4 linked regions of the Oreochromis niloticus genome follow. The protein of the gene in region 2 interacts with the protein of the main gene of each other region in a pairwise test. Links are inferred from orthologs where the notes say so. Each region holds a gene or a part of one and is shown on either strand. Other genes may lie near its edges.

Region 1 (7,518 bases), on a different chromosome or scaffold from region 2:
TGAGTTGATGGCTTTTGGGTTTATTGATATATCAGAGTAATACCTTTATTGTTGATTGCCGTTTGGCTGTTGGTCCATACGATCACATTTGCTGATGTGAGTGGAAGTTGATCTATTCCTTGCTGCTCTAGAAGAGGGCAGTAAAAAGGAAACCGATGTTAAAAAATGAATGTTTATATCAGGTAAATTATTAGTTTAAAAATTGCTGTGAGCACAGAACTATATAATCAGTGCCTACCTAGTAATTATACCAGTGTGAAAGTCAACCCTATATAACCTAAAAGATGTTGGGCTTATGACATGTTGTTTCCTGTGCAGATTCTGTTTGTCTCCGGACTGTCGTTCGTCATCGGCCTCGAGCGTACCTTCAGGTTTTTCTTCCAGAGGCACAAACTAAAAGCCACCAGCTTCTTCTTGGGAGGAGTGCTGGTGGTTCTGCTTGGCTGGCCGATTGTTGGGGTCGTTCTGGAGATCTACGGTTTCTTCCTCTTATTCAGGTCAGCTCAGTCAGAAAGGGCTCACCTCCTTTTCCTCTTCTTTCTCTTTTGGCTGCTCCCTATTAGGGGTTGCCACGGTGGATCATTTACCTGAATCTCACCCTATACCTAACATCCTTTGTCTGTCACCCCAATCCCTCTGCATGTCCTCCTTCACTATATCAATGAACCTCCTCTGCCGTCTTCCTTCTTTCCTCCTGCCTGGCAGCTCCATATTCAACATCTTTTGTCCAGTATATCCACTATCTCTCCACTGCACATGTCCAAAACATCTGAGCCCTTCAACACTCATTTGTATCAATTTACAAGTCTCACTTTATTCTTGCACTCGTTAACAGGGGATTCTTCCCAGTGGCAGTCGGATTCATCAGACGAGTGCCCGTGCTCGGGTCTTTGCTCAGCTTACCGGGGATCAGTTCGGTAAGTGTCACTCTTGGGCACTTTAACCTTGATAAGGGTCACTAATCACAAATATTGTTTAGCGTTATAAGGCTTTCAATGACATTTGTCTGCAAGACTAACAGTAAATAAACACTGTCTGAATTTGATGAAACTTGGTGGAGAGGTGGAGCATGTTCAGAGGAAGGATCCACTAATCTTTGATCCAGTAATAATAAAAGTTGGTCATGGTGGAGAAGGTGCTCTCTGAGTGCTGTTGTAGTTTTCTTTTATGCAAGCCTCTCTGGTTGCAGTAAGAAGTCAGATTCTATAGAAGTGGATGAGAAAATGGCTTCTGGCTCTCTTGCTTAGGTTACGGTCTCAGTTGCTACTTTCAGGTTTCATTAAATACAACATGATGTCAACTGTGTACATAAGATTCCAGCTGGAGTTGAAATAGCAGGGTACGCCACCTACATTGTGGCCGAGTCACTCAGATTCATGGTCTGATCCGCACCTTGCATCTATTTAAGCTCAAGGCCTGGAAGCAGAATTTTGCTAATCAAAGGGTGATGTCACAGTGGCCTCCTCCATCTTTTAAATACAGTCTTTGGCAGACATGGAAAAATCCGGTATTTGCAGCCTGTTGGCCAAAATATCATGCAAGTATAATTATATGAATACGAAACTATTTTGTTTCATTTGTGCTAAATAAAATTCAGTTTACCATCATATATGACTAAAATACACCATTTAAAGTCTTGCATTTGAGAAGCTGGAACCAGGGATTTGTTTTCTTTATTCGTATTTGAATAATGTTAAGTGCAAAGAATTGATTATCAAAATATTTGGAGATTAGTTCTCTAAGCTAAACATGAACTTTTTCCAGTACTTTCAGATGATACAAATGGCATTTACGGCAAAAAGCAGCTGAAAGTTTTTAAAGAAGCTGATATTACTTTGTTGATCTATGTGGGCTTTAAAGATTTTTTTAGAGTGAAATGGCTCCAAAAGCTGAGGAAGATTTTTTTAGATGAGATCGCGGCTGGTCTCTCTCTCATCTAGTCTAATAACAGGGTCCCTGTTGTCCTGAGCACGATCTCATGGGATTCCCCACTCAGTCTCTTGTCTGTGAAGCCTTTTGTAGCTTCTTGGAAACCGTCAGCATCCAGGATCAGTTAATTCTGCCGTGGTCGCTAATATTTTACAGCTGTTTACCAATATAAAAACCTCACTGCATTATCAACATCATCATCCTTACATGTTCTGCTTTATTCCTGTTATTTTAAATCATCCTTCGCATAACAACTCATAAATAATTCTGCCCTTTTTCTTGTTTTATTTCAGCTGGTGGACAAAATTGGTGAGAGCAACACGATGGTATAACGAAGAGGACAGTTTCAGCGTTTCTTACCGTCTCATGGTGACTGTATATTTTGACCATTGCCATTCCAGAGCTGTGAATCCAAACATTACTCTGCACAAAAGACCCACGCATCTGTGGATGTCTGACTGACTGTACATTTAATTCTATTAGAGGGAAACTGTTTCTATCTGACTGCTACTGGATAACATTACCAAGAGATCCTTTTTTTTTTTTTTTTTTTTTAAGGCTGAAAGCAGTTTCTCTTTTATGTCATTCCACTCTGATATTTATGGACTGATAATCTGGGACCACTGGATTAATTTGGAGGACAGTGACAGCATCTGTGTGCCTGAACAGACACTGAGGGCCTTTTTTTTTTTTTTTTTTTCCTCCATGAAGAGTTAGTGGAATTTTATACTTAAAATGTGCGGTTGAGCTAAATGTGGCAGAAATGTAAAAACAGTTTATATTGTCCTGGATGGAAATGTTTAACTGTAACTTTTCTAAGCGCTTGAAATAAAGTGTGCGTTTTATAAATTTTGTTTGTAGTATAAGTAATTTAGATGTCCCAGATCTTACCTGCGTTTTGGGTAATAACAGTATGATTTGCTAAAAGAAGCCCAGCTCCATCTTCTATTCATGGACTCTACTAGAAGAACTTTACATGGTTCACCCATACTGGGCCTTGGTGAAGCTCCTCTAATGCACACGTTCTCTGAAACAAGCTATTTTACCCTTTAATGCACAGGTGTCGAACTTCAGTCCTCGAGGGCCGGTGTCCTGAAACGTTTCCATGTGTCACTGCTGCAGCACACCTGAATAAAATCAGTAGGTCATTAGACTTTATAGAACTTGACCGCATGCTGAGGTGGCAATTCATCCATTTGATTCATGTTACAGCAGCTCATGAGTAAATGAACATGGTACAATAAAAGTACTTCTTTCTTTTTTTTTCAAAAAACTTATATTTACTTACATTTATTTAAACTTGAGTACGGTTAGGTGTTGCCACCTGAGCATGGAGTCAAGTCTTGCTGATGACCTACTAATTTTATTCAGGTTGTTGCAGCAGGGACAAATATAAAACTCCAAAGGTTGATTCTGTTCATCTGGTCGTAGCATTTTCAACGGGAGAAACGTTTCGTCAATCATCCAAGTGACTTCTTCAGTCTCAGCTGACTGCAGGTTTCCCCAATCTGATTGAGAATGCATCAAGACATATTTAAAAGTTTCAGGACACCGGCCCTTGAGGACTGGAGTTTGGCACCCCTGCTTTAATGCTTCGGTCACAAAGGAAGAAGGCGGCTGGAGACTGTATGATCGTGTGCAGTAAACCAATCTCATTGTCTTGGTTGCTTCAGAGGCAGGGACCAGGACTGCAACCACTTGTAGTCAGTTGCTGGATTCAAAGGTGGCAATACAACAGCATTAAATGGATTCAGTCTGCTATCAGTGTACGATTGAGTGTGCTCAAGTTGGCATCCACATGCAATCTGTTTGTGATAATACGGTGGTTATACTCCATAATATATATAAGATTTACTAGCATAAATTTCCAAATTTGTTGCCATGTATATAAACAGAAGTTAATTTAAACTATTTAGATTCAGAGTCCAGCTGAAAACCCATTGATTTGAACAAATTCATCCAAAAAAAGTGACGGCGTTGCTACAGGACAGGGATTTAACTATATAAGCAGCTGGAAACCAGTTGAGTCCTGTTACAAAGAGGCGTGTTGCAGATGAGTTGCGCTAATTGGCACAGACTGTGTCACGGACCCGGTTCCGGGGACTCGGGGTCCGTGAACAGTGTGGACCATTATTACTATTATTATTATTATTATTATTATTATTGTGTGTTGTCTGCACTGCCTCTGATCTGTCCTCATCTGTATGTAGGCAGGTTTGTGTGTGTGTTTGTGTGTTGCTGTTTCTGTGGCCAAGTTACAGGCATCTTCAGGCCTGAGGGGCGTGGCCTAGCTCGAGGATTGGCCACACCCGAAGCCCTTGCCACACACCTGCTCCTCATCAGGGCTCGTCGGTGGAACTATTTAGAGGAGTGATGGAGCTTCCACCGACGCGGGATTATTGCGTTTGACTACACGTCAGTCTTCTAGCTCGTAGGAAGTGTGAGTGTATGCCTGCTAGGATATAGTGTGTTAATGGCTGCCTCTATTGTTTTCCCTCAGGAGGAATGTGGAATGAGAGAGAGCAGTGAGCACGAGGAGTGCTCGAGACACTGGAGCAGAGAGCACTACACGGGGACTTTTTGGGAAAGAAGACACTACACGGGAGTCAGGGACACTAGGGGATTTATTGTTGTTTACTTCACCACCTTTGTAAATAAACACTGTCGCATTGAAGAGTCCGGCGTTTGGGTCCTATTTCCCCATCTCCCCACGGTCTGCCAGCTCAGACCGTGACAGACTGACTTATTTCGATTGCAGTGTGTTGGTTTTAATTGGTCGGCATTGTAAATATTCACCAATCTGCCTGAGAGTGATTGCAGTGGTCGAGTGGCCCGCGATTGTCTGCAGACAGGTCGCCTCCCAACAGGCGACCTGTGCGGTCACTTTGTGATTCAAAGTGGTCACTCAGAGGCTGAGGATGCTGTACGGTCAACTTCTGATGGAAAGGTTGGTCATCAAACCGGTGTTTACTCTGATGTGACAGTCTTAAGCCAGCTTTATATGAGCAAATGTTAATCAAGTTTAATATGACAACGTCAACCACTGTGAAATGATAATACGTTCCCTTTAAGCATTCACATATCAGAGATTTATAATTCAAAACTAATCTCACTGTTTATACACAGTGTGTACAGGTCATAAACACAGAGATTTATGTATGTGTGAAATTTCTAAAACAGTTGAAACAAAAATAACAAATAAATTCAAGGTCCTCATGTTCGATTTCCTTCATGCTTTCAGCTGATCCAGGCTCCTGCTCCTCATGTCAAACCCACATTCTCAAATCCATCATCTTCAAGCAAATGCACTGCATTCATAATAAAAGTGGAAGAAAATCTAATGAGGGTTTACTTAAATATTTTTGCTAAAGCCCTTATTAGAACAAATGCATTTAATTTAACTACACTTATATTTGCCTTTGAAATAAATACATTAATTGCCAGTGAAGGTTGTGATAGTAAAGGCCTAAATGTCTCTTAAAAAATGTTTGAGAGGTTAAAACGTATTAGTATGCATATATTTTTAGCTCATCTGGCTGAAGGACCAATGCACTTAAGCCACGGCGAAGACTTAAGTTCATCCATGGTTCACATTAATACAGTGCTGGTCTTATTTTAGCAAAGACCACCATTCACTTTAGTTTTATTACAAAGCTGCAGTTCAAAACAACAGTCACCCCAAGGCTTTATATTTCAGAGACAAAGACCCTGCAATATTAGCAAGACACTCCAACGATCACATGACTCCGCCCCCTATGAACAAGTAGTGCTCCACACAATGATGACCACAATTTGGGAGAAGACCTATTGAAGTCATGGATATGGACAAATCGGTTGTAGGCAATAAAATAGATTTACAGATTACACAGGTTCCTTGAAGGACTAGAATTGTGTTATTCTCAGCCTCAGGCCTCCCGTAGGCGTCTGCACCTGCCACCTCATCACTGCTCATCATCATCATCAACTTCATTCATAAAATCTCACCGGCGTCGTCGTCCTGCAGTGACCCTGTGAAGATACTCTGCTGCTCGCGAGACTTAAAAGTTTGAGTGTCTCTCATGCGTCTGCGATTAATGTGCAGCGACATCTTTAACAGCACCGTCAGCTGAAGAAGTAGGTGTGAGGTGATTAAGACACCTGTCAGCGTCATCAGTTGGTTTTTTCTTACAAACGATGTGACTGCACTGACAGGGAAACATTAATCAAACATTTAAACCAGCTGCAACCTGCAGGAGAGCACAACGCTTAAAGTAAGAGGTAAGATATTCTTCTTCTTAGAGACATATATATATATATATATATATATATATATGTATATGTATATATATATATATGTATATGTATATATATATATGTATATGTATATGTATATATATATGTATATGTATATGTATATATATATGTATATGTATATGTATATATATATGTATATGTATATGTATATATATATATATATGTATATGTATATATATATATATATGTATATGTATATATATAAATATATATACATACATTTTAATTTTCTTAAATGTGAAAAAATGAGGTAAATTAAACTTTTACTTTCTAAGTCTACCTTTTACTATTTATGAGCAAAATTAAATCCGTTTATAACACAATGCAGCGCAATAAATCATGAAGCTAATAAAGCACAGACAGAAAACATGTAACTATTGTCATTCAGTATTAGTATAGTATAGTGAGGTATTAGTATAATACAACAGCTCACAATTATGTGTAAAGGAGAAATTTACTTGCTAAAAATACACGGGCAATTGCTTAAACCTGCTTACAGAGATTTATTATAGTGTGTTACATTAATAACATGTAACATAAAGTAAGAATGCTACAAATTATTGTAAAATAAAACACTATTAATGAAAATATGCTACAAATACTGTTAATATAAATACAGTTAAAAAAATTTAACTGTAAAATGTACACAAACCGCAACTTACTGGTGTCCAACTGTAAATTTACTTGACATTAGTGGCTGTAATTTCATTTACAGTAAATTTACTGTAAAGTTACTGCAAACTTTTTACCGTAAATTACTGGCATCTAGGTGCTGATGAGGTGCTTTAAAATTTGTTTACAGTGAGTTTACATCTAAACACAGAGAAATAGACCTGTGCTGGATGACTGTAATTAAACTTCTCAGAAAAAGACGCAGTTTATTTTTCCCCCTCTTGTTCTGTTGCAGAGTTCAACAATGTCTCTACTAGTCACGTTGCTTTTGCTGTCGCTGGTTTCTCAGTGTTGGACTGCTCCACAGGTTAGTCAGGATTTGTCTTTTGTCACGTTTAAACCTGATCAGCCTGAGCTGGAACAGAATTTTCTTTTCCATTTTCAGAGGAGAAACTGGACTTCTCAGGCCATCCTATACCTGAAAGGAGCACGTAAGAACGCACTGACCGCAGCAAACAGTCACCCAGATTTCAGATGTCTATCAGATCAAAACGATATCGTGTGCTGATCTTTTGCAGAGGGACGCCGCTCATTTTTGGAACGTGGCAGAAGAGAGGAAGAAAACACTTTTCACTCAGGTGTGTGAATACATGATGGAGCTCAAGTAGTGTAATCACATAAACA
Region 2 (6,851 bases):
CTGGCAGGTGGTAATTTGGTGCTCTCTACGCATGATCAAAGCATCTGTTCAGGTTTAACAGTAGCCAAAGGACACTCCCGTTTTACCGTGCCTCTTGTGTTTTAAAGTGATTCACGCTTAATGCTTATGTGTGTCTTAATTTTGTTTCTTGTTTCTATTTAGTAGTCATCGGACGAAGAGCTGACAAGGGTTTCTTGTACAAACACCTTATGTTTGGAAATTTGAGGAATTTGCTTGCGTCATGATCGCATTATATGAGTTCAAAATGACAAATCAATAAAACTCCACGTCTGTGCTCATATTTGGTCGCACTCTGCTCTTTGTCAGGCCCGGCAAATTCATTTCACGGGCAGTAATTTGCAGTAAATTGTCCCATTAGTAATGGCTGACAATCGATTTTTGTTTTGTCTTGCTGCCCACACCTATTTCTTTTACCCACTGGCTATTAAAAGCTATATACTGTAAAAAGGTAAATAAAAAGCAGAACAGAAAATGTTTAAACCCCTACTGGACTGGACCACAGTGCACAGCCTATTAAAAACCAAAGAGCTGAGGTATCCCAAGCAGTAAGCCTTCCAGCTTTTAACACATTGTTAAAAACTTGTTCATTGTGGTAATAAATGCCACTTAAAAAATATATATATATATAAAAACAGAGCTCTCTGCTCAACTCTGCACAAACCACAATCTCAAACAGTTCTGTACATAAACATAGAAGAATCATAATTTTTATTTTAAAAGAGGCTAAAAAGACAGCAAGTAACATGAAAGACTTGTTAACTGCAACTAAGTTGGTGGAGACTAAAATGGAGCCAAAAAGGAGTAAATATGCAATTTCCTACTATGGCTAGTAGGAAAGCAAAAAAAACAACAAAAAAAACAACAACAAAAAAAGCACATTACTGTGGGTTTAAACAAGAACTCATTTATTACAGAAAAGCAATAGAGTCATATACACCTGAAAAAAAGCTAAATAAATAAAAGGAAAAATGAACCAATGGCATGCAGAACTCTCAGCTCAGATTGCAGACTTGGGAGAGACTGAAACTTCGGTTAATCAGCCATCCTTTCCCATGTCCTCTGTGGTGCAGCCCAGGAGTGGCTTCATAGCAGAGTGGACTACTTTATTTAGAACAGTGTTGTGGGGTTTTAAACCACGAGCAGACTGCTCGGCTGACTCACCGACTAGAATAGAGGTCTGCCTAAAAAACCTGCGGTGTTCAAAAAAAGAAAAGCGGGGATGACACAAAGTGGAAAAAGAGACTGAGTGAATGAAGGGAAACAAAGACAAAAGATGCTGCTCTTAACAGAGTCTGCCCTCTGTGGTTTGCAGCAATTAAGTCCCTAAAGGGAAGGGTGCAGGAACTCTCTGGAGCACAGCGCACCTTCAGTGTACTTGGCGAGGATGAATGTGTCCCGCCATGCTCACGGGCTTTTATCGATCCTCTCATCACTATTAACTCTGACTGTGTTGTGCAGAACCAGAAACACGAGCTCGGCTGCCAGCGTTAAACAGACAATTTCCACATAACAACGATTCACTATTCATGGAGCAATTTGAACCCTTGATTCTTTATCAAATCCTTGCTTCCTGTCGCAGCACTTTTGCTACATCAAGAAATCTACTGTTGGTGCTACTGATGAACAACCATGATTCTGCACAACCACATCCTGTTGTTTGTTATAGTGACAGATGAGGTGTCTCTGCAAGGATGGGGATGTGCTCAGAGCACTGAGGGAAACAGGTGCCGTTGGACTCGCAGGTGGACGGGGGCTTAAGTCGCCATGAGTGACGATGACCAGCCCCAATCCTAACCCCAATGTTTCTGAGAAGCAAAAAATGTTTCTTTTTAAAAAAAATCAGAAAGATTCATTTTCCATCCTCTGATTGCCAAAAAATTAAATAAATAAAATAACAATACAAATAAAAAATACAGTGATAGCACAGAATTAGGGTTAGGGTTATCACTGATGACTCCACAGGGTTAAAAGGGATCTGTGAGAGATTGGAAATCTGTCTTTTTATGCAACCCTGAGATTATAAGATTATTTTGCAACAGAATGAAGCCATCAAGAGATAAATACAACAATAATTAGGTAGATTACAATAAAGGAGGGATTAGACTGTATATATAAATATATATATTAAGACTGTATTTTCTTTTTTTCTTTATAAGATGATTCAGATTTAATGAAATAAAAACACTTGAGAGTGTAGTGAAAGAGTTAGTACACTGACACACACAGTCACACAAACTAAATTAATAGTTAGGTGTGCTGGTGAATGCTGCAACATCTGCCAGCTGAACACACACACACGCAAGTTAACCAGTAACACCCCAGCCTGTGTGTGTTCCCGATCTTTCAAACACATTAGTTTACACAATTAAACACACACACACCCCTACACACGTACACACAAGGGGTTATGAGCACAGGTTACGAGCCCCGGATGTCTGTCAGGATCTAACAGCTACACCGCCCTCCTGAGGTCCGGCTCCGGGCGGAACAGGCAGTGTAGGTGCGTTTGATTTTATCGTAGATGGCAAAAAAAAAAAGAAAGAAAGAACGATAGAAAGAGAAAGAGCACTAAGAGTTTGCGTTAATAAAAATGTAATTAAAAAAAAGCCTCACCACATTAGTGAGAAAATCTCCGTCGCTGAGTTCCTCCAGGTCCAACAGGTTGGTCCCTCCGGACGGATAGAGTTTCTCCGCTGTTAAACTGTCTAAGATAGAGTCCATCATGACTGCCTGCGTCTGTCTGCACCTCACCGGACGGATGGACAGCTGTGCGTCAGACCATTAAAGTCAGACCATTAAAAAGCGGGCAGTTTGTTTTCACACGGCCTCGCACCGCCTGTGTGTGACTCCAGCTGCTGCTGCTGCTCTCTCTCACTGTCAGCGCTGACAAATGTCAAATTTTCACATCCTCCTCCAGTTGCCTGTCGCTGAGACGTCGGCGCTTCTTCCAGCTCTCTCCTCGCGTGCGCCGCCTCAGCCACTCGCCGATGAATATTCAGAGAAGCCCCGCCCACGTGACGTCCAAAAAAGAAAACGCCCACAAAACAAAGTTGTAGTCGCTTATTCGCTCATTAACAAAAAGGAAGAAAAGAAGAAGACCCATTTAGGGCTTTAGATCAGGGGTGTCAAACATAAGGTCTGGGGTCCAGGAGTGGCCCCACACAGACTCCAATCTGGCCCACTGGATGGCTGCAGAAGATGTGAAAGTTTTACTACTACATACTACACCACAGTAATTAAGTACTTATACATATATATACACATAGTTCTGTTCCTCTTCACCATCTACACTGCAGACATCTCCCACAACTCCACCCAGTGCTTCCTGCAGAAGTTCTCTGATGACTCTGCAATAGTCGGCCTCATCACTGATGGGGACGACAGGGAGTACAGAGAACTTACCCATGACTTTGTGGACTGGTGCCAGCAGAACTACCTCCAGATCAACACTAGTAAAACCAAGGAGCTGGTGGTAGACTTCCGCAGGCACAAACATCCTCCACTGCAACCACTAAACATTCAAGCTCTGGACATTGAGGCTGTGGACAGCTACAGGTACCTTGGTGTTTATCTGAACAATAAACTGGACTGGACTCATAATTCAGACGCCCTCTACAGAAAAAGGCAGAGCAGGCTGTACCTGCTGTGGAGACTCAGGTCTTTTGGAGTGAAGGGCCCACTCCTGAAGACCTTCTATGACTCTGTGGTGGCCTCAGCCATCTTTTACAGTGCAGTCTGCTGGGGCGGCAGCATCTCTGCCGGGGATAGGAAGAGACTGAACAGGCTGATCCGCAGGGCCAGCTCTGTTCTAGGATGCCCTCTGGACCCAGTGGAGGTCGTGAGTGACAGGAGAATGGTGGCTAAGCTGTCATCCCTGTTGGACAACATCTCCCACCCCATGCAGGAGACTCTGACAGCACTGAGCAGCTCCTTCAGTGGCAGACTGCGGCACCCACGGTGTGTGTCGGAGAGATTTCGCAGGTCTTTCTTCCCCACTGCTGTCAGACTCCACAACAAAGACAACTGACCAAACACACACATCCACACATGTGCAATAACACTAAGTGCAATACTCTTTTCTGGCATCGTTGTATTTTACTCAGTTGTATATAGCATTTGTATTCTATTTTATTCTATTGTATATAGTATTTTATTTTATTCTGTTCTATTGTGTACAGTTGTGTACATTATCTTATTCTTATCCTATTCCAGTGTTTTTCTAATTTTTGCTATGTAACTTTGCACTGTCCACTTTCTGCTGTAACAAACCAAATTTCCCACGTGTGGGACTAATAAAGGTTATCTTATCTTATATATATATATATATATATATATATATATATATATATATATATATATATATATATACATATATATATATATATATATATATATATATATGTATATATATATATATATATATATATATATAAATAAACCAAAAGTGATAGAAAAATTCCTGCTTTTTGACTAAATATTATCAAAATTTCTGGGGGATTTGGTTGTTTTTTATTTGTTTTGTTTTGTTTTGTTTTACAGTGGATTAACAGTGAAAATAAATAAAAACATGTAATTATGGATTTTTTTTTTGACAAAGTACAGAAACACACTAACTTATTATTTGAATTATTATTATTTTTTGTTCTGATTAAAAGTGATGCCCTGTCAGGAGTGTGTGGACTTCTACACAAGCTGATGGATGTTCTCCCTCACTTCTGCAAGTTTGGTTGCAAATCTACGTCATTCTTCTCCAGTAGAGGAGTTTGGTGACCTTATTGCTGTGCAAACCTCAACCTGAGCAGAGATCTGATCAGCTAAAGTGAAATCCTTTTCATTTTTTTTTTTGCACTAAATAGAATCTGTAATATTACCCAATTTTCATCTGAGTTATTATCCACTTATTTTAAGATCCGTGAAAGTTCTGTGAATACACGCAGCTACAGTATCAATAAACAAACAGTACACACAGTCCATGATCCACCTGCAGATATCTTTGAGCATGAAATACATGCAGAGATCCATGCCTATCCTTGAGAATGGGTATTTTTGTGGAGATGAAACTGGGAAAAAGACAAGTGACTATAAAGGCTGTTTTGACACCTCAAGATACTCCCTGCAGCTATTACACACACACACACACACACACACACACACACACACACACACACACACACACACGCACACACACACACACACAAAGTGGGAATGAAACAGATATTTCTCTTCACTCCACCATGATTGCTCAGGCTCGCCTGTCTCATTTCATCCCTCTCATTCTGTCCCAGATTGTTTCTCCTCTAAGACACAGATTGAAATACAGCATGGCAAGAGAAACCCTGTTCATCGTTTCAGAGGTGCAAACAATGTGTGTGTGCTGCAACTCCGACCTGTCCCATGATCTGGCTAGATTTTAAGTGAACTCGGCATGTCAGAAGGGCTTATCCATGAGTTTCATCACCTATTTTGTAGGATTAGTACCAGTAGTAGTAGTTGTTGTTATGGTTAGATGCCCTATGGACCGCTTGGTCATCCATGATTTAGATTCACCTAGAAATATCTCAAAACACCTTTTAGATTGGCATAACGATAAAGCCAACCAACGTTAGTGAAAGTGTTTTTGTGTGTGATGTCTCTACAGCTATTGTATGAATTGCGATGGTTGTTTTTAGGACAACCTTATAATAATGAATTTCAGTAGTCCATAAATGCATGAACTAGTTTTTACCATCACTCTGTGACAGGATGTTTCTAATTTTAGAGATATTGTCCAAATGCAAGAAAGCAGTGCTACACGTTTGTTTAATATCTGCATTGAAGGACATATCCTGGTTAAAAATGACTCCAAGATTCCCCACAGTATTACTGAGGGCCAAGGTAATGCCATCCAGAGTAAGCATCTGGTTACACACCATGGTTCTTAGACTTTTAGGCCTGAGTACAATAACCTCAGTTTTATCTGAATTTAGAAGCAGAAAATTAGAGGTCAACAAGTCTTTATGTCTTTAAGACATTCTTGCAGTTTAACTAATTGATATGAGTGTTATCTGGCTTCATGCATAGATAAAGCTGGGTATCATCTGTGAAAATGTAAACTATACCTTCTAATGTTACTGCCTAAGGGAAGCATGTATAGCGTAAATAGAATTGGGCCCGGCACAGAACCCTGTGGAATCCCATAATTAACATTAGTTTGTCATAAGTCTGTTAGAAAGATATGATTCATACTGTGGAGCAATACCTTTAATTCCTACAGCATGCTCTAATGTCTTTAATAAAATGTTATGGTCAATAGTACTGAGTGCTGTGCTGAGGTCAAGCAGGACAAGCACAGAGATGAGTCCACAGCCAGAGGCCATAAGAAGAATATTTGTAACCTTCACTAAAGCTGTTTCTGTGATGTGCTCTGAATTCTGGCTGAAACTCTTCAAACAAACCATCCCTCTTCTGACTCTCTTAAGATTTTTTGAGATTAAAGGAAATTTGGAGTTTGACCTATAATTAGCTAAGACAGCTGGGTCAAGTGATGTTTTTGTAAGTAATGGATCACTGGAATGGAATACTGACGCGTTTAAAGGCCTGTGGTATGCAGCCCATTAATTAGATAGATTGATCATATTTAAGACTGCAGCATTCGAAAATCCCATACCAATCTGAAACAAAATATGCCATTGAAACTGCAAACAAACAGAGCAGTATAATACAATACAATGTTTTTTGAGGGTACACCCCCCAGACCTCAAGTCAGATTTGGCACCTATCCACGCAGTGACTACTGCCTTATACGCATCAGCCTTTATAATTGATAGGAAGAGAAAGCTGAATATAACACG
Region 3 (7,897 bases), on a different chromosome or scaffold from region 2:
AATATTATTGGTGAAAATCAGCAATATTCACCTCACGGAAAGCCACTGAGATGAATATTGGTCAGTATGGCGGATAACTGCTGTACTGATCTGTGACTGGTAAATCAATGCATCCCTAACTAGGTTATATAATAACACCAAATATGTTTTTGTTTTAATGAATACATTTTCAATAAATGGTATCGTGTTCTGTATTTTCCTGACATCGATTTTGCAGCAGATATACAGTAAAAACTAGTGAACAAAATATGAGTAAAATCATACTAATTATTATTCCAGACGGCACATGAGACTTGAAGTTGAGTTGACTTATCCAATAAACAAAGATACAGACACCGACACACTGTTTTACATTTGTGCACATGTTAACGTGTCTGTGATTAGTGAATTAAGCTCACCTCTATATCTTTGAAAGGCAGAGGTGTCTCTGGGCTGCGGGGGAAAAACACCAGCACCAAAGTGATTGTCAGAGCCAAGAAGAAAACAGGAAGAACTCCTAACCTGAGAAGACAGAGGATTGAGGATGAGGTCTCCACTACTGAGTTAATGATCTGTAAGACATGCAGGGTTACCTGAGGCTAATGTCATCATAACCAATACCAATCTAAACAATGGCAGCCTTTATTGTGGTTTTCAAAAGTTGTTAACTTTCCAATCAAGTAAACAGCACCATGTTTCACACATTTAAACTTTACTGTAATTGCACAGTGTTTGGTGTTACAGGAGTTCAAATTTTACTGACTTTAGTGGCATAATGGTCCAATGTTGAGTAAATACACAAATGTTAATCAGCAGGGAGTGCAAGGTGTATCGCTGCAGCACTCAACCAGTGAAGCAGCGTGTGTTTTGTTAAAACTCTGATGGAAAAGTGGATTTTTGCTGGTCTCACTGAGTAGCCTATAAAGCAAAACAATGTCTCAGCATGTCTCATGGTGACTGTGCAAAAATCCCTTCCCTTGGTGTTAATTAGATTGTTTTTGAGCACTTAACACCTCCTCTGTCCCTCGCCTCCTCTCAAACACCCAGCTCCAGCCCTTAATGATATTTGAGACATTATAATTTTTGTAATTTTAACCCAGCTGACGGGGATGGGGCGTGGCTGCGAGTCAGTGAACTAATACTGGCATTAATGCATTAAGTCAACTTTATCATACAGTGCCTTTCTCCAGGGACCAAAAAGCAGGTATAATAGGGCACTTAGGAGGCAGAAAAAGGAAAGACAGAAATCTGGAAATGACTCTAGGAACTATAAATTTGGGGACAATGACTGGTAAAGTGGCTAACAGAATAGAGAGACATAAGGTAGATATATTGTGTGTGCAAGAGACCAGGTGGAAGGAATGCAAGGCCGAGAGTATATTGAAGTAGGAGTAGTCATGAAGGATGAGCTGCTTCACTGAAGGGGGGGACTAAATGTATAGAGATAATCAGAAGGAGTTGCACCGTGTGTTTTTTAGATTTATAGAAAGTATATAATATGGTTCCAAGAGAGGAACTGTGGTACTGCATGAGGACGTCAAGAGTGACAGAGAGGTATGTGAGGGTGGTGCAGGACATGTATTACAGGTATTATAGGTATTACAGATGGGTTCAAGGTCTGAGCCCCTTCTTGTTTGCATTGGTGTTGGACAAGCTGACAGATGAGGTCAGGCAGGGGTTTCTGTGGACTATGATGTTTATAGAAGACATTGTAATCTGAAGTGAGAGTAGGGAACAGGTGGAAAAGAGCCTGGAGGGGTGGAGGTGTGCTCTAGAGAGTAGAAGCAAGGTGTAAGGAGTCCAGGTAGTAAAAGCAAATGAGTTTAAACACCTGGTGTCTACTATCCAAATAAAAGGTCAGTACACAAAGAGGTGAAGAAACAAGAGCAAGAAGGATGGACTGAGTGGATACAAGTTTCAGCAGTGATTTGTGACAGAAGGATAGCAGCAAGATTGAAAGGGAATGTTTCCAAGATGGAAGTGAGACTTGCTGTACATCACATACATCTGGCTGTAAAGACACCAGTGCTAACAAAATGACAGGAGGCAGAACAGAAGGTGAAAGAGTTGAAGATGCTGAGGTTCTTGTTAGGAGTGACCAGGATGGACAAAGTTAGAAAGGCAAGCCTGAGAATGTTGGGACATGTACAGAGGAGGGACAGTGGATACACTGGACAAAGGATATTTCAGGTGGAGCTGTCAGGCAGGAGAAAAAAAAGCATTAGTGAGGCTTCATGGATGTAGTGAAGAGGACTGAAGGACAGAGGAGGATGCTAGGGAAAGGGTGAAAATGAGCCAGATAACCCGCTGCAGGTCCCTAAAGGGAGCAGTGGAAAGACATTTTTTGGGATTACACTGTGGTTACTGTGTGATGCAAGAGTATGTCGAATTTACAAGGAAGCCTCACTAATGCAGTGGTTACAACGTGTTATCTCCTAGGTGGACCCTAGCCCACCTATGAGACAAATGGCGCAAATTTAAAGGAAATGCGGCGCCCATTGAGATAAACTCTATGTTATCCAGGCTTCTCGTTATAAATATTAATATATTCCATCTGAGTTAAGCCTGTGTGTGTGCTGTTATGTCACTCACGTAGCGGACCCTGACGCTCTCAGCAGCAAAATCCCAAACACAAGAGCCACAATCCAGACCGCCACAATAACGAAAACGCCAGTACCGACTTCAAGGACAGTATTTGCCATTTTAAAGCAACGTTTTTAAGGGAGCTAACTCATCACACCCAAACGCCCAACCCTTTGTATTTATGAAAAATGCTAATGGTACACTTAACGACGCTGTGCGGTATCTAACTACCGACAGCTGCCGCAGCTAACAGTAGTCGACGCACTGCTTTACAAGTAAGTTCGCTGTCCCTACTAGCGCTTCTATGCTGAGACCGACGGCTTTAAAATATCAGGCCGACACAGTTGCGAACTAATGTTGCCAGCTAAGGCTCCATTTCTCATATAAAAACGAGCCGAGTTTCGGTTAAGCTTTCTCTATGGCGTCATCTGCTTCCTGGTAACAACAAACTGTTATGTAACTGGATAAATGAGCCAGACGACTAACCAATCAAATGCGTCGTTACTTAAGCGTCAAGCCCCACTGTGAAGCTGCCACACAACACCAGAGAAGAAGAAGCAGAGCCTTCTTATGCGAATGTCGAACTTTACCCCATTTATTCCGAGGAAGGGTCTCATTTTACAGCCAGGTCCTTGCATTATAGCCAGGGGATGTTTCAGCGCCTTATGTTAGGTTCGGCTCACTGAGGTAGATTTCCTTAAAGTTTATGAACCAGCAGTGTTTGAAACACTCATAAAGTCTTGTATAAATACTTATCTGAAGGTATCCCCAGAGTAAGCCCAAAACAGTATTAGTATTATTCAGTCTTACACAAAACACATTCATTCCAAGGGATTATCAGACGTGTTCACAAAGTAGCCCGGCATATTTTCCACTCCTGTTTTTATTCATAACAATTTTCTCCTCCTTGATCTACAAAGTGTATTAATAGTAGTGACTGAATCTCTCACGTGCAGTCCAAGCTAAGATTTATTATGGGTAATATTTATGGTGACCAACAGGGGGCTAGCCAGGTCCGCGATTCAAAGGCATCTGCATTCTAGCGCGCGAGTGCGCGCGTTCCATGCCGCGGTCCCTTTTGCTGTTTACGAGAAGAAATTATGAATATGTTACCTTATTAGATATTTACATTTTTTTTAGAGCAGTTTAAACCGTTCTTCGTGTTTTGCCTGTGCCTGCATGACTTTCCATCGGGCGATTTGATCTTTTCTATACTTTCACTGCAGTCAAACAGATTAAAGCGCACACAAACGTCTCACTTTCAATTTTGTATCAAAGTGTCCAGGAAGGGGCGATTCTGGGATTAGACCTTGAAGGGGGCTCAGCCACCTATCATAATGACATGCACAGACTTCCTTGCAATTAATATTAACGGAATATTCTGCTTGTAAACATGTGCTGCTGTCCTTTTCACCTTTACAACCCTCAGTTCAAAGGAATGCACATTACAATGTTACCTTTAAATCAACCCAGTTAGTTGGAATGAATAATCACAGTTTTCCATATGAAACACCAGTGTTATAGCAGGCAAACTGAAGGCAAAGACTCAGTTGTGTTCAGTTGTTGACCAGAAATTACCACGGTACGTTAAAGAACTATTTGTAACAAAGCAGATATGAACAGCCTTTTGTCACTCTCTTTTTTCAGTCTCTTAACCACGTACAGGCAGTTCAGTTTACTTCAATTAAATTGCAATTAAAATTAAAACATTAAAACATTAAAAAAAACATCACTCTTCCACCCCATACACCTGGAGTTGGTAGAGTTGATTTTACACTAAAGTTTCCAAATTCATGCAAACCCTTCATTTATTCTGCAGGATCAACGCAGGATATCAGGCCCCCTGATCCAAGAGTGGAGAATAGATTTGTAATGGTATCCATCCTGTTCAAGCCATGTTTAGCGATGGGAATCCTATTCAGTTTGTATCAATTAATATGTTCTATTTAGAATGTGAAATCATTATTAATGAATATGAGCAAAGCAGAAGCTACCATGGCTTTGTAACTTTTGTTGGCTTTCACTACATATTCACTCTTAGATAGTCTTACTGTAAACAAACACTGAACCACGGTTTCACCAGAACAGAAATAGGAAATTGATAAAGCACATATATATATATACCAGCAGACCCAAGGCTCAGAAAGCTAAAAAAATAGCTAACAGACTCTAACAATCTAGCCTATGTTAACATTTTTGATGGTATTTAGACAGCAAGTATACATAACATAATGACCCTGTTTTATCAGGACAATTTACACTTTTCCTTGCATGTTTACATATTTAGGTAATGTGCGTTTTCAATCTTCACAAGTGAGTGGTGTTGTGGAATGACCTCTTCATCTTCTTTCTGTCACAATAACAAAAATCTTACCTATTAATAAAAATCCACACTGTTGATGTTGAAGCATGTATGAGTGCACTGTGACATCATGACATTAAGAACACTGGACATCTAAATCCGTGCTTGTTATAACCTGCACTGTGTCCAGTAGACCAGGTGGGAATATAAATGCAAAATTAGACAATGATGACAGAACATTTTTTAGGGGTTCTATTTTTAAATTCAGGGGTGCTTGAGCATTTCCGATAAAGAAGGTCTAAACTCAGGTCTAAACTCAGGTCTTTTCTGTTTGAACAAAGAACTTTAATCAGTGGTAAACCTGAACAAGTGAGGATATAACAAAAAGATCGAGGATATGTGGTGCTGTGGTGACTACAACTGAGATGTTTAACATTGAAGCAGCTGCCCACAGCTGTAGGGATTAGAACAGCAGGAAATCAACACGCAGTGAATTAGGTTTCTTATATTAAAAAGGTTCAAGCTTGCCTGTAACTGGACACACTTTCCTGACAAAGGCTGTCACATTATGTTTGTATAAAGACTGAAAGCAAAGAGGATGGCTGAACAGATGTAGGTCACTTTACTTTTCAGGTTTATAACAGAGTCCGCCCGAGCTCACTGAATGCGTTCATATATTAAATCATTTCAAAATGTCATTTAAATGTTCACATTTATGTGTTCTAAGCTGGTCAAGACTGATTCTCTTGATTCAAAAGCAACTAAATTCTTTAGATTTTTTATTCAAATGAGCTGTTGTTTGCTGTTGTTGTTACTGTGATTGTTCTAAACGTTTTGCACCATTGCAACTCGACCGCAAATGTCAATGCGCTCTTCTTTGATGTTTCGTGTGTTTGGAGCCCTACACCTGATTGCCGTATTTCCCATGGACACTGGAAGGCATCAGCAGCCCGGTGTTGGGAAAACGGGGAGCGGAGATGAAGATGGAGGTGGGAGGGGCCTGACATGACTGACGTCAGCGACTGTGTGGAGGAGTATAGGCTGTGCTGTCAGCCCAGTGTCAGTCTGATGAAGATTGGCATGCAGGTAAGCTGTCATTCATTTTCAATGTCAGTGCATGGGAGCAGGGCTTCAGCACTCCAGCGTCCTTTTTCCCCTTTTCCCCCCCTTCATTACAAAAGGCAGGACATTATTCATACAGTCAGACAGCCAGCCAGGCCAGAGTGAGGGAGAGAGAGATAGGGAGGGAAAGAGAGACAGAGTGAGGGAGGGAGAAAGAAAAAAAAGAGAGAGAGCGAGAAACTGAGGGAAGGGAGGGGGCCTAGAGGAGGGGGTGAAAAAAGAGAGAGGGAAAGGAGAGGAGAAGCATTTTTGTGCTGGACTCAAAGACCAGTGGATTTTTTTTCCTTTGCTTGATGCGGCATTTGGATTTTTGAAATTGTCGCGGTAATGTTTGTGATGCGGTTATCTCCGATTTTTTAATGTATAAAGCGGATGTTTTAGTGCAAATGTAATAGTTTAAAGTGAATAAAAGCAGTAAAGCGCACAGGAAGCTGGCGTTCTGTTTGCTTTGATTTCTTTGTCAAAAGCTTCGGAACGCTTCATCCCATTCTAATTAATCGCAAATTAACACTTCATTTTACGGCGTGTCTGTAACGTGCAAAACGCGTGTTGTGTTGTAATGTAATGCAATTTTCTTGATGTTGAAGTTTCGTTGTTGCGCTGTTAAAAATGCTTTTATTTTGACTGAGCGAGTTAGGCGAGGTGTAAGTGTGTGTGTGTGTGTGTGTGTGGGGGGGGGGGTTCATGTTGCACACTTGCAATTTGATGTAATTCACAGAATTTTATTATTAGTTTTCTTAATGCTCGTGAGTTTTGTGTGTGTATTTATTTTTGTTTGCAGGAAAAAAATAGATGTTTGCATGTTTTTCAGTCTCAAACTGAAAAAGAGAACTATAGTTACCTTTAAAATTATAATTTTTTTGCTGATGACTTACAAAAGTACCCCAGCTTTTCAGTGGAATTGGTGTAGCAGCAGTTTTTCAAAGTAAAAGAAAACAAAAAAACAAACAATATATAAAGCATATATATTACATGTAGTAATTGAATGTAGTTGCCATCAAATGGGGGCATTTTTGACTTCTTATTTTCTCAATGAATTTTTGACTGAAGTGAGCTCTAAAGTTTACACTCAGCCTACCCAGCCCTGCATAAACCTCCCTACTCTGAACACTGGCCCTCTTTGTGTGCCGCTCACCACTTTCTATTTCAGATGACTTCTTTATTCCACAATTGCTTGAATGACGGTTTTGCTCACCGTAGCTGTTTGACTGGCACAAAACACTGTCTGTGAGACAGTTAGTTTTCAGCACCGTGAGCCTGTATGATTTAACTTACATCCTTGAGCTAGAGAGGCCCAGATTTGCTGGTCATTTGCTCTGTCTTAGTAGTTTTTTTGAGTCAAATTCAGCCAACTCCTGTGTTCCTTTGGGCAGTATTTCATACAGGCACCCCGGTGCAGGCGCAGATTTGGTAAACACATGTGACTTAAAAACAGAAATGCTTTTCTTAATATAAAATTCAAACTGATAACTGACACAGTTGTTGTCTGTCAGTGGTAAAATGCTCTGGCTATACAAAGCTAACTGAGGGCCAAATAACTAAGGCCATAGTGTGAACATCAAGAGTACATTAGCTTAATTAAATATGCCTGAACCATTTGTTTACTAATCATCTGCTTCCCTGAGAAATCACAATGGCGATTTGGACCACTTTAGGTCCCTTTGTCAGACACGTTCGCCAGGTGCAAAATGCTGAGCATGAAATCCCACGAGGGGCTAAATTTGCACCCACTGTGAAAGTAAACACTTTGGAAGAAACTGCTGTTGTTCTGTGAATTGCTGTTAAAAGAGCAAGAGAAGCCTTTTTACCTTTTACACTGTTCAAATCACCCTTTGTCAGTAGATGATTTTACCTGCGAATGGATCGAGATGGCGTACACAAATACGCAAGCTCACGAGTTGATACGCATCA
Region 4 (7,370 bases), on a different chromosome or scaffold from region 2:
AAAAGGTAAAAACTTTGTTTTAAACTGAACAACCAAAACTCCACATGATGGGGTGACTTAACTATTTTCAATGTAATCAGATATTCTGATCATATTACAGTTTTTCCTATTAGTAATGACATTTCTGACAATGCACTGAAATTCTTAAGGGATTTTTTTTTAAGGAACAAAATAAATTTATTAGAAGCAGGCTGTTATACAGTATCTAAGCAGATAACATAATGCCTGCTCAGATCTAAAGTACTGCAGATGTTAAAGGGGATACCACTATTTAGAAATGACATCTTTATTTATTTTTCTTCTTTTTATTTTGGGCAACATATACGCAAGTATTAGTAAGTCTGTGACCAGCCAACAAGGTCATAACAAAGCAGCTGGATAATAAAGTCAGAAGTTAAAAAGTGAGACTGACCTGTTTTTTTTATTAGTATTTTTTTTTTTTTTTTAATAACATTGTGTACGTGATTCAGAATATAAGTATGCTCTTCAAAACACACAGTCATGATCCCTACTCTTCTTTTTCCTCTGGGTTGTCTCTCCATATGCAGTAGTTGAGGCTAGTTGCAAGGCACAGCCAGCCCAGATAGGGCGCCAAGAGCATCGTGGCGGTGCGGCTGATGGGATACCAGGACATCATGGTGGCTCCAACAGTCCCAGTGAGAAGCACAATCTCAATGAGGGACTAAAAAGAACAGACAGAGGGCATGTCAGTGACAGCGATGTATACAACTACACTGCCACACTTACCACACCCCTAATTATTGGTGTCCAAATTTAAATTTACCCATTTCAGCTTGTGTGCACCAAAGAAAATGGGAGTCCAGGCCCAATTCAGAGCTAGCTGTGTCCCATAAAGCCCGAGTGGAACTAGTGCATCCTCAGTGAAACCTCCAAGCTCCTTCCACACCAGGTATGAACCATAGCTGGAAGAGAAAGACAAAAAAAAACAACAACAAAAAAAAAATCACACGAGATCATTAAGATAAGGAGGTTGCTTCACAGATAATGCAGAAATCAGTCACAATGTGCTTACCCCATGCCTGTGTACAGACACGTCCACACTACGGGGAATGCTTTGTTTGGTGGGCGCCACGATGGTTTCTTCAGGGTTGGGTACCAGGTATTTACCTCTTTGCGTGTGATATAAACACCGTAGAGCCCTCCCAGGTGTGGCAGGGCAGTGAACCCAGCTATTTGCAGCCACATTTTCTGAGATAAGAAAAAGACAGCCATTTAACTTCCGCTAAGGGTGGATATTCATAGGTATAAGTATCAAATTTTTCTGCCTAATGCATCTGCTGTCCCATGACTGACTAAACAGGATTTGCAGTAACAGAAAAAGTGAGGATTTTGTTATGCGCACATCCTTGATCATTTTAGTTTTAGACTTTTTTTTTTTTAACAGTTTTTTAAATTTCAAGGTAGGCATTAGGCATATGTCAATTTCTCTGTTAAAAATTAAATTTAATAACTAACTGAAGCATGGCATCAGATTCGATTTGTGCAGACCAAATGGCCAGCCCTGTTACAGTTCAGCACAATAATAGACACTTGCACCACATAAATAAAAGCTTATACTTCATAACCAACCAGAATGGCTTCAACACATTAAAGACATGCTACTTATTTAAGAGTCAATACATCATTACACAACAGACGTTAAATCAAAGTATCACTGCTGTAAAGACCATTTTAAATCCTTAGCCAAAGCAACTATCAACTAACATTACAAGGCTGAACCATTTCAACTTAATTACACCCCTGAGAGTTAACCAAACATAGTCCATATTCACACTGATCGACCTCTTTGCACTCATTAGCCTCAGAAATACAAGCTGTGGGCTATTTTTAAGTAGCATTCCAGTTTTTAATCACTTATCATTGCATAGAAATGGCTTTGTGCACTGTTACAGAGTACTTGCTGGCCAGAAATAACAGGTCTTATGGGGGTATCTATAGATGTAAACAAGATTTCCCTTCATACAGTTAAGGTTAATAGTCTGTTACCTTTACTGCTATTTTTAACAGGACATTTAAGCATTAAAAATGTATGTACTCAAGCTTAAATATACAAGTAAACGCATTCCTTTCCCTTGACATAATCCCCAAACCTTTTTATTTTAATAAGCAGGAAAAGAACAATACCCGCATGACTCTGTCGCTTTCATTTTCTTTCTTACAGCAACGTTACAAAAACACATGACTTTTACTATACATTTAAGCACGTTTTGCTGTTGTTCTAGCGCAGCAGTGAAACATGCTAACTTAACGCTAATTAATTTTTCTTTTACGTGTTCGTGCTCCCAAACATTACGTGCGCTGACTTTCTGAGGTCACGCTGCACTTGAGTGACTCTAGGTCAAGGTTTGGCGGCGCAAAGTTGCGTTAAAGCTAATGTTGATGTCAGGTCACGAGCAGACATAGCTTAACTTCTTACCTCACTCAGTGGGCAGCAGCGTAAAGTATGACTGTCGTATCGAGGACTGAATCTACAACATACAGCCAAATCTTTAAGCACACTGTTAAGCCGTGATATTGTTTGTCGAGTGGGCAGGGCCACCTTATCGGAGCAGTCAGAAACACTCCCCTGACACTCCCTGGATAACGAGTGCTACTTGCGCTACTGAGCCAAACAATGTCACGTCGCAGCGTAGTTACCAACGACTGGTCACGAGGATAACATCAGGAGTTGTTTAACGGTCGAAAAACCGGTTATTAGCTAAATAAATGTGTTGCATAAGGCCACGGTGACACAAATGTTAAAAAAAAAAAACCGCGAAAAACGTATTCGCTCAATGCTTTGTTTGTTGTCTCGTGTCCTTTTGGCCGAGGAAGCGCACGGAGCCTGTTATGTGACAGCAAAGATGACAAAAACGTCAAGATAGTTACCCTCCGTGTCGAATGGCAGGCGTTACAATGCTTTCCTTTCCTGTTCCAACAGCTTGTTTTAGACCACTTAAAATGTCATGTTTTCCCTACAGCAGGGATGTCAAACATACGGCCCGGGGGCTAGAATCAGCCAGGATCCAATCCATCCCACTGAATGGCTTTGGAAAATGTGAAGGACATACATTTGAGACATTTTACTGTTTTTCCTTGTGTTCCGCCCCATGGCAATTCACATTGCACTGAAGTAATCAATTATAGATTTCTGTAATTTAATCATTTACTTTATTTACAATTTAAGCCCAGTCGTGCTGACAGACTTGTTTCATTTACTATGACAGAATTTCTTTGTAATGTAGAAAAAACGAAAAATACCGTTAAAATTGTGCTTCTTTGTTTTATGTTAAGATTTTGTAGAGATTAATTATGTAGTTAAACTATTTTACACTGACAGAAATTGGAGTTTCACCAATCCTGCCCATATAAGATCAAAGTGAGCTGGATGTGGCCCACAGTGTAAAATGAGTTTTACATCCCTGCTTTATGAACTATGGAAACTTATTTCTATTAATTTTATTACCCTTTTTTTATATATTATTTTTTTTATATATTATATTTATATTTCTAATACTTACTGGTGGAGTATGCATGAGACATAACAAGATTGAAGTTGAGGAAATACCTCTCCCAGGCCTCTGTGTTCACATCACAATAATGTTGAGTAGCCGAGTACAGTTATGTCTTCATCTGTGCAGTTCTTGCAACACTACTTGTCTGTCTTCAAACCTCACGTGTCAGGTAAGGAAACAGATGCCAGTGTTGAGATCCAGTTGCATGAGCAGATTTCTGAGAGAGTGCAGAGAACTTCCTCTTTATGTTTGAAGCAATGACTGTAGAAAACAGAATGAAAAGCTGTAAAACTTGTGTAAATACAGTTAAAAGTCCAACATTTCTACTTATGCTTGTTTGTGGTGAGCAGCAGATCAAAAAATTTAGGATTATAAATGGCTTCAAGTGCACATTCAGGCCTGTGAGACTCATTCAAACACCCAGACACTGACACATGGCTCTGTGCTACACGCAGACATTTCTGCATTTCTGCTATTCCAAGACTCTTTATATATAGTTTATTTTATGTAATATTCAATACTGAACTGTAACTTTAGTCTTTTTCAAGGAAGCAAATTTGTATTCAGTGTTTTCATAAAGGCCTTATTTTCATGGCTTTGCTAGTATGGAAGAACACACATGAGGTTTAAGGCCTGGACAAGTTTGAAACCTTTTCTCCTTCACAATGGAAAACTGCTGAAAATAAACATGGGTATCACTTTATCCAGCTTCTAATTTTATAAATTCTGCATTCAGCTTTGCAGCCTCCAATATTATTCAGATGCTGCTCATTTTACATTTTCACTTGTTTCCTCACTTTTCCCGGACACACTTGCATCTGCACATACTTTGTCAGTCAAAAACACTGTTAAACACAGTTACAACATATGCACAGTTAACTTGTTGGTTTGTGTCAAATAGTCTTGAGGGTGGAGTGTGCAGTGATTGAGTATTCTTCTACTTTATAGTGGAAGGTGTAAAACTGCCTCTATATTGAAAGTCCTATTTATGTGATCGTTAGTATGATTGTGATGTTTGCTATTTAATTTAAAGAAACTCAGTCATTCTCTTTAACTACTCCAATTTCAGACAAGCTGGGAGGCTGTGGAAAATGTAAACAGAATGCAATGATTTGAAAACTTCATAAATCCATTTCTTTTTCACAATAGAACATAGAAAACACAAAACATTTTTAAACTGAGAAAATGTACAATTCTAAGACAAAATAAGGTCATTTTGCATCTGATGGTAGCAACACGTCTGAAAAAATTTGGGACTGGGCCATGTTTACACTGTAGTGACAACAGACTGTAAACATCTGGGAACAGAGGAAACCAGCTGCTGGACTTTTGGGAGAGGAAGTTAAAGCCTCTCCCAAAGGGAGAGGGATGAGCTATTTAAACCCTTTGCAATTGACTAAGAAGCTCTGAATCTCTGAGATGCTTGTTTCATATTACTAAACTGTTGCCAATTAAACTAATTATTTGTAAAATGTTCCTCCAGCTGTATCTTTTTAGAAACACTTACTTTTCAGGCCCTTATTACCCCTTTGTCAACTTTTTTGGGACATGTTGCTGCCATCAAATTAAAAAAAATAAGTACATTTTTGTTTGGTTGATTATTTCTTTGTTGTAACAATGGTTCTTGGCAATAAATTCTATACTTTTGGAAAGCCTGTTTATTTCCCCTTAAATGGTTTCAAATGTAAGGAGTTTATTTATTTGTAAATAATTATATTTGTGGGTTGAGCAGCAGATTTGAATATGTGCTACATCGGTCAGTTGGCATCTGCTTCAAGCACGCCATGTCTGACTGACCTGCATAGGGCCTGTGCCATAGGGCAACTTGAAGTTGCAAAACCAAGTTGCTGCATTATTTGGAGTGAACTGCACACAGCCAATCGCCATTCTCAAAGGGCTGCCAGGAGGCCTGTCATGACTGCCCTTCATCATCAGGCCTGTTTGCATTGGTCTTGCAACATGTGCAGTAGAACCTAAACAAGTAGAGGAACGTTATGTTCAATGATGAGTCCAGATTCTGCCTATGGCAGCTGGATTGTATGGTCAAAGTGTGAAGAAGATGCAAAAAACACTATGCTGGTTGCTCCAACGATAAGGTAGCAGCTTTTGATGGAGGCAGAGTGATGGTGTTAGGACATATCTCCTTCACTGAAAAACAAGGCGTGCCATTATTGGAGGCAATCTTGATGCAGAGATATCAAGATAAGATTCTGCAACCAGTGGTAATCCCATATTACCACAATCTGGGAGACTATCACCAGAATTTGGGTATAGAAGAAGAAATAAAACCCCTAAAGGCCTTACTGGACTAGGTAGCACTTCATAATAATGTCACACTATTAAGCATTAGTAAAGTAAGGTATTAGCAAATTAGCATATCATTGGCATATTATAATTACTCCTCCTTAGTGTGTCATTTATAAATACAGATATTCCAGCTTCTCTGAAATTGGGGTTGTACTTAAAGAGAATGACTGAATTTCTTTAAATGAAAACAGCACACATCATAATCATACCAATGATGACTTAAACTGGGCTTTAACTGCATCACTGCACACACCATCTTCAAGACACAACCCAACTGTACATACACTGTAACTGCATTTATAAACAGTGTTTTCTAGACAAAGTATATGCAGTAGTAACTTAAAACTACAGTATAATTGTTTATTTCATGTTTGGCTCGTGGCTCAAAGCTTCATTCTCTGGTATTTACAGCCCAGTTTAGCACACTGTGTCTTTAAAAAGTTGCACTGTTAAAATGACTCAGACTTCTTTGGGTAAGAAGATTCACATAAATCTGATTTTATGAAAAGGGAACTTATAGTTCAGTTAATGAGCAGAAATCATGAGTTGTACACCCCTGGGTATGTTTATTTCAGCATTTGAGTGAGTTTGATTATTAATAAATTTCAGAAATTGGCATGTAGTTTCCTGCGAGCAAAGCAGATGTGAGATTTTGTGCTGTAAGTTGTAGATGTGTAAACATGTAAAGTAATTATTTTTGAAAAATCTGTTTTTCCATGGCTTATGATATAGATAGCTTGACTGAAAAGTCAGTAGTCAGTGAGTGTCCTGAATACTCCTAAATTCTGACTCTCACTCCCCATTCATGCAAAATGAGTTGAAACTGGTGACTGAGCCAATACAGTCATCTGAAAAGTATTTACTGAGGTCACAGAGCCAAGTTCTTGTGTAATTTGGCACAGATAAGACAAAGAAGAAACGTTGTCTAATTACTTGTGGCCACAGTTCGATCTAATGCATGAATAAATGTTTGACTTTCTGTATTCTATACAGAAACGTAACATCTATATTTATTGTTAATGTGTGGTTTTATTCAAACTGTCAATCACTTTGTTACTGTGTGTTTTTAAAAAGTGCAATACAAATCAAAGTTATGATTATTATTGTTACCATTATTATTAAAGTGGTCAGGTAAAAGGACTGGACTGCAAATGAGTGAAAAAGCAGACAAAACCCCCCAAAAAACTTTGAAAGACCTTCAGAAAACTACTTCAGAGATGCTGATAAGTGGATTTTGTCATCTTTGAACAGAGAGCAGTGGTTACCCAGTTTTATAAGCAACTACAACCAGCTGCATGAAAGTTGTAACTATTCGAATAGATTTTTTAAAACATTTTTGTTGTTGTTGAATTATTCCTTAAAATAACAGCAAATTTAGAGAGTAAAACAGATGCTTAGTCGGCAGGATAGGTTAAGAATGTTTTTTTTTATGGAGGAGGGGAGAAAGAAAAACCCCCCACAAACACACACACATACATACTATCAGTCAAAAGTTTGGACACCTTCTCATTTAATGGTTTTTCTTTATTTTTCCAACTTTCTACATTG

Evidence for each region.
Region 1: the proteins of creb3l1 (region 2) and slc35b4 interact in binary tests that used the Homo sapiens proteins (3 or more experiments, as listed by UniProt). The two-hybrid records come from large-scale screens. The link is inferred for Oreochromis niloticus from reciprocal best matches to the Homo sapiens genes CREB3L1 and SLC35B4.
Region 3: the proteins of creb3l1 (region 2) and tmem218 interact in binary tests that used the Homo sapiens proteins (3 or more experiments, as listed by UniProt). The link is inferred for Oreochromis niloticus from reciprocal best matches to the Homo sapiens genes CREB3L1 and TMEM218.
Region 4: the proteins of creb3l1 (region 2) and tspo interact in binary tests that used the Homo sapiens proteins (3 or more experiments, as listed by UniProt). The two-hybrid records come from large-scale screens. The link is inferred for Oreochromis niloticus from reciprocal best matches to the Homo sapiens genes CREB3L1 and TSPO.

Annotation. Positions count from the first base shown.
Region 1 is NC_031972.2:48,261,873-48,269,390, reverse strand, and holds the start of slc35b4 (UDP-xylose and UDP-N-acetylglucosamine transporter), read right to left. Parts: upstream 3,021-7,518; 5' UTR 2,919-3,020; coding exon 2,821-2,918; intron 2,783-2,820; exon of another isoform or gene 2,262-2,782; coding exon of another isoform or gene 2,223-2,261; intron 918-2,222; coding exon of another isoform or gene 836-917; intron 498-835; coding exon of another isoform or gene 319-497; intron 1-318. Other genes in the region: vesicle transport protein GOT1B, read left to right, coding at 319-497, 836-917, 2,223-2,261. UniProt on the Homo sapiens protein: Antiporter that transports nucleotide sugars across the endoplasmic reticulum (ER) membrane in exchange for another nucleotide sugar.
Region 2 is NC_031986.2:12,843,832-12,850,682, forward strand, and holds the start of creb3l1 (cyclic AMP-responsive element-binding protein 3-like protein 1), read right to left. Parts: upstream 3,003-6,851; 5' UTR 2,746-3,002; coding exon 2,635-2,745; intron 1-2,634.
Region 3 is NC_031975.2:4,619,063-4,626,959, forward strand, and holds the start of tmem218 (transmembrane protein 218), read right to left. Parts: upstream 3,018-7,897; 5' UTR 2,682-3,017; coding exon 2,572-2,681; intron 502-2,571; coding exon 399-501; intron 1-398. UniProt on the Homo sapiens protein: May be involved in ciliary biogenesis or function.
Region 4 is NC_031970.2:19,775,387-19,782,756, forward strand, and holds tspo (translocator protein), read right to left. Parts: upstream 3,022-7,370; 5' UTR 2,890-3,021; intron 2,848-2,889; exon of another isoform or gene 2,438-2,847; intron 1,210-2,437; 5' UTR 1,207-1,209; coding exon 1,034-1,206; intron 924-1,033; coding exon 785-923; intron 683-784; coding exon 509-682; 3' UTR 162-508; downstream 1-161. UniProt on the Homo sapiens protein: Can bind protoporphyrin IX and may play a role in the transport of porphyrins and heme. Promotes the transport of cholesterol across mitochondrial membranes and may play a role in lipid metabolism, but its precise physiological role is controversial.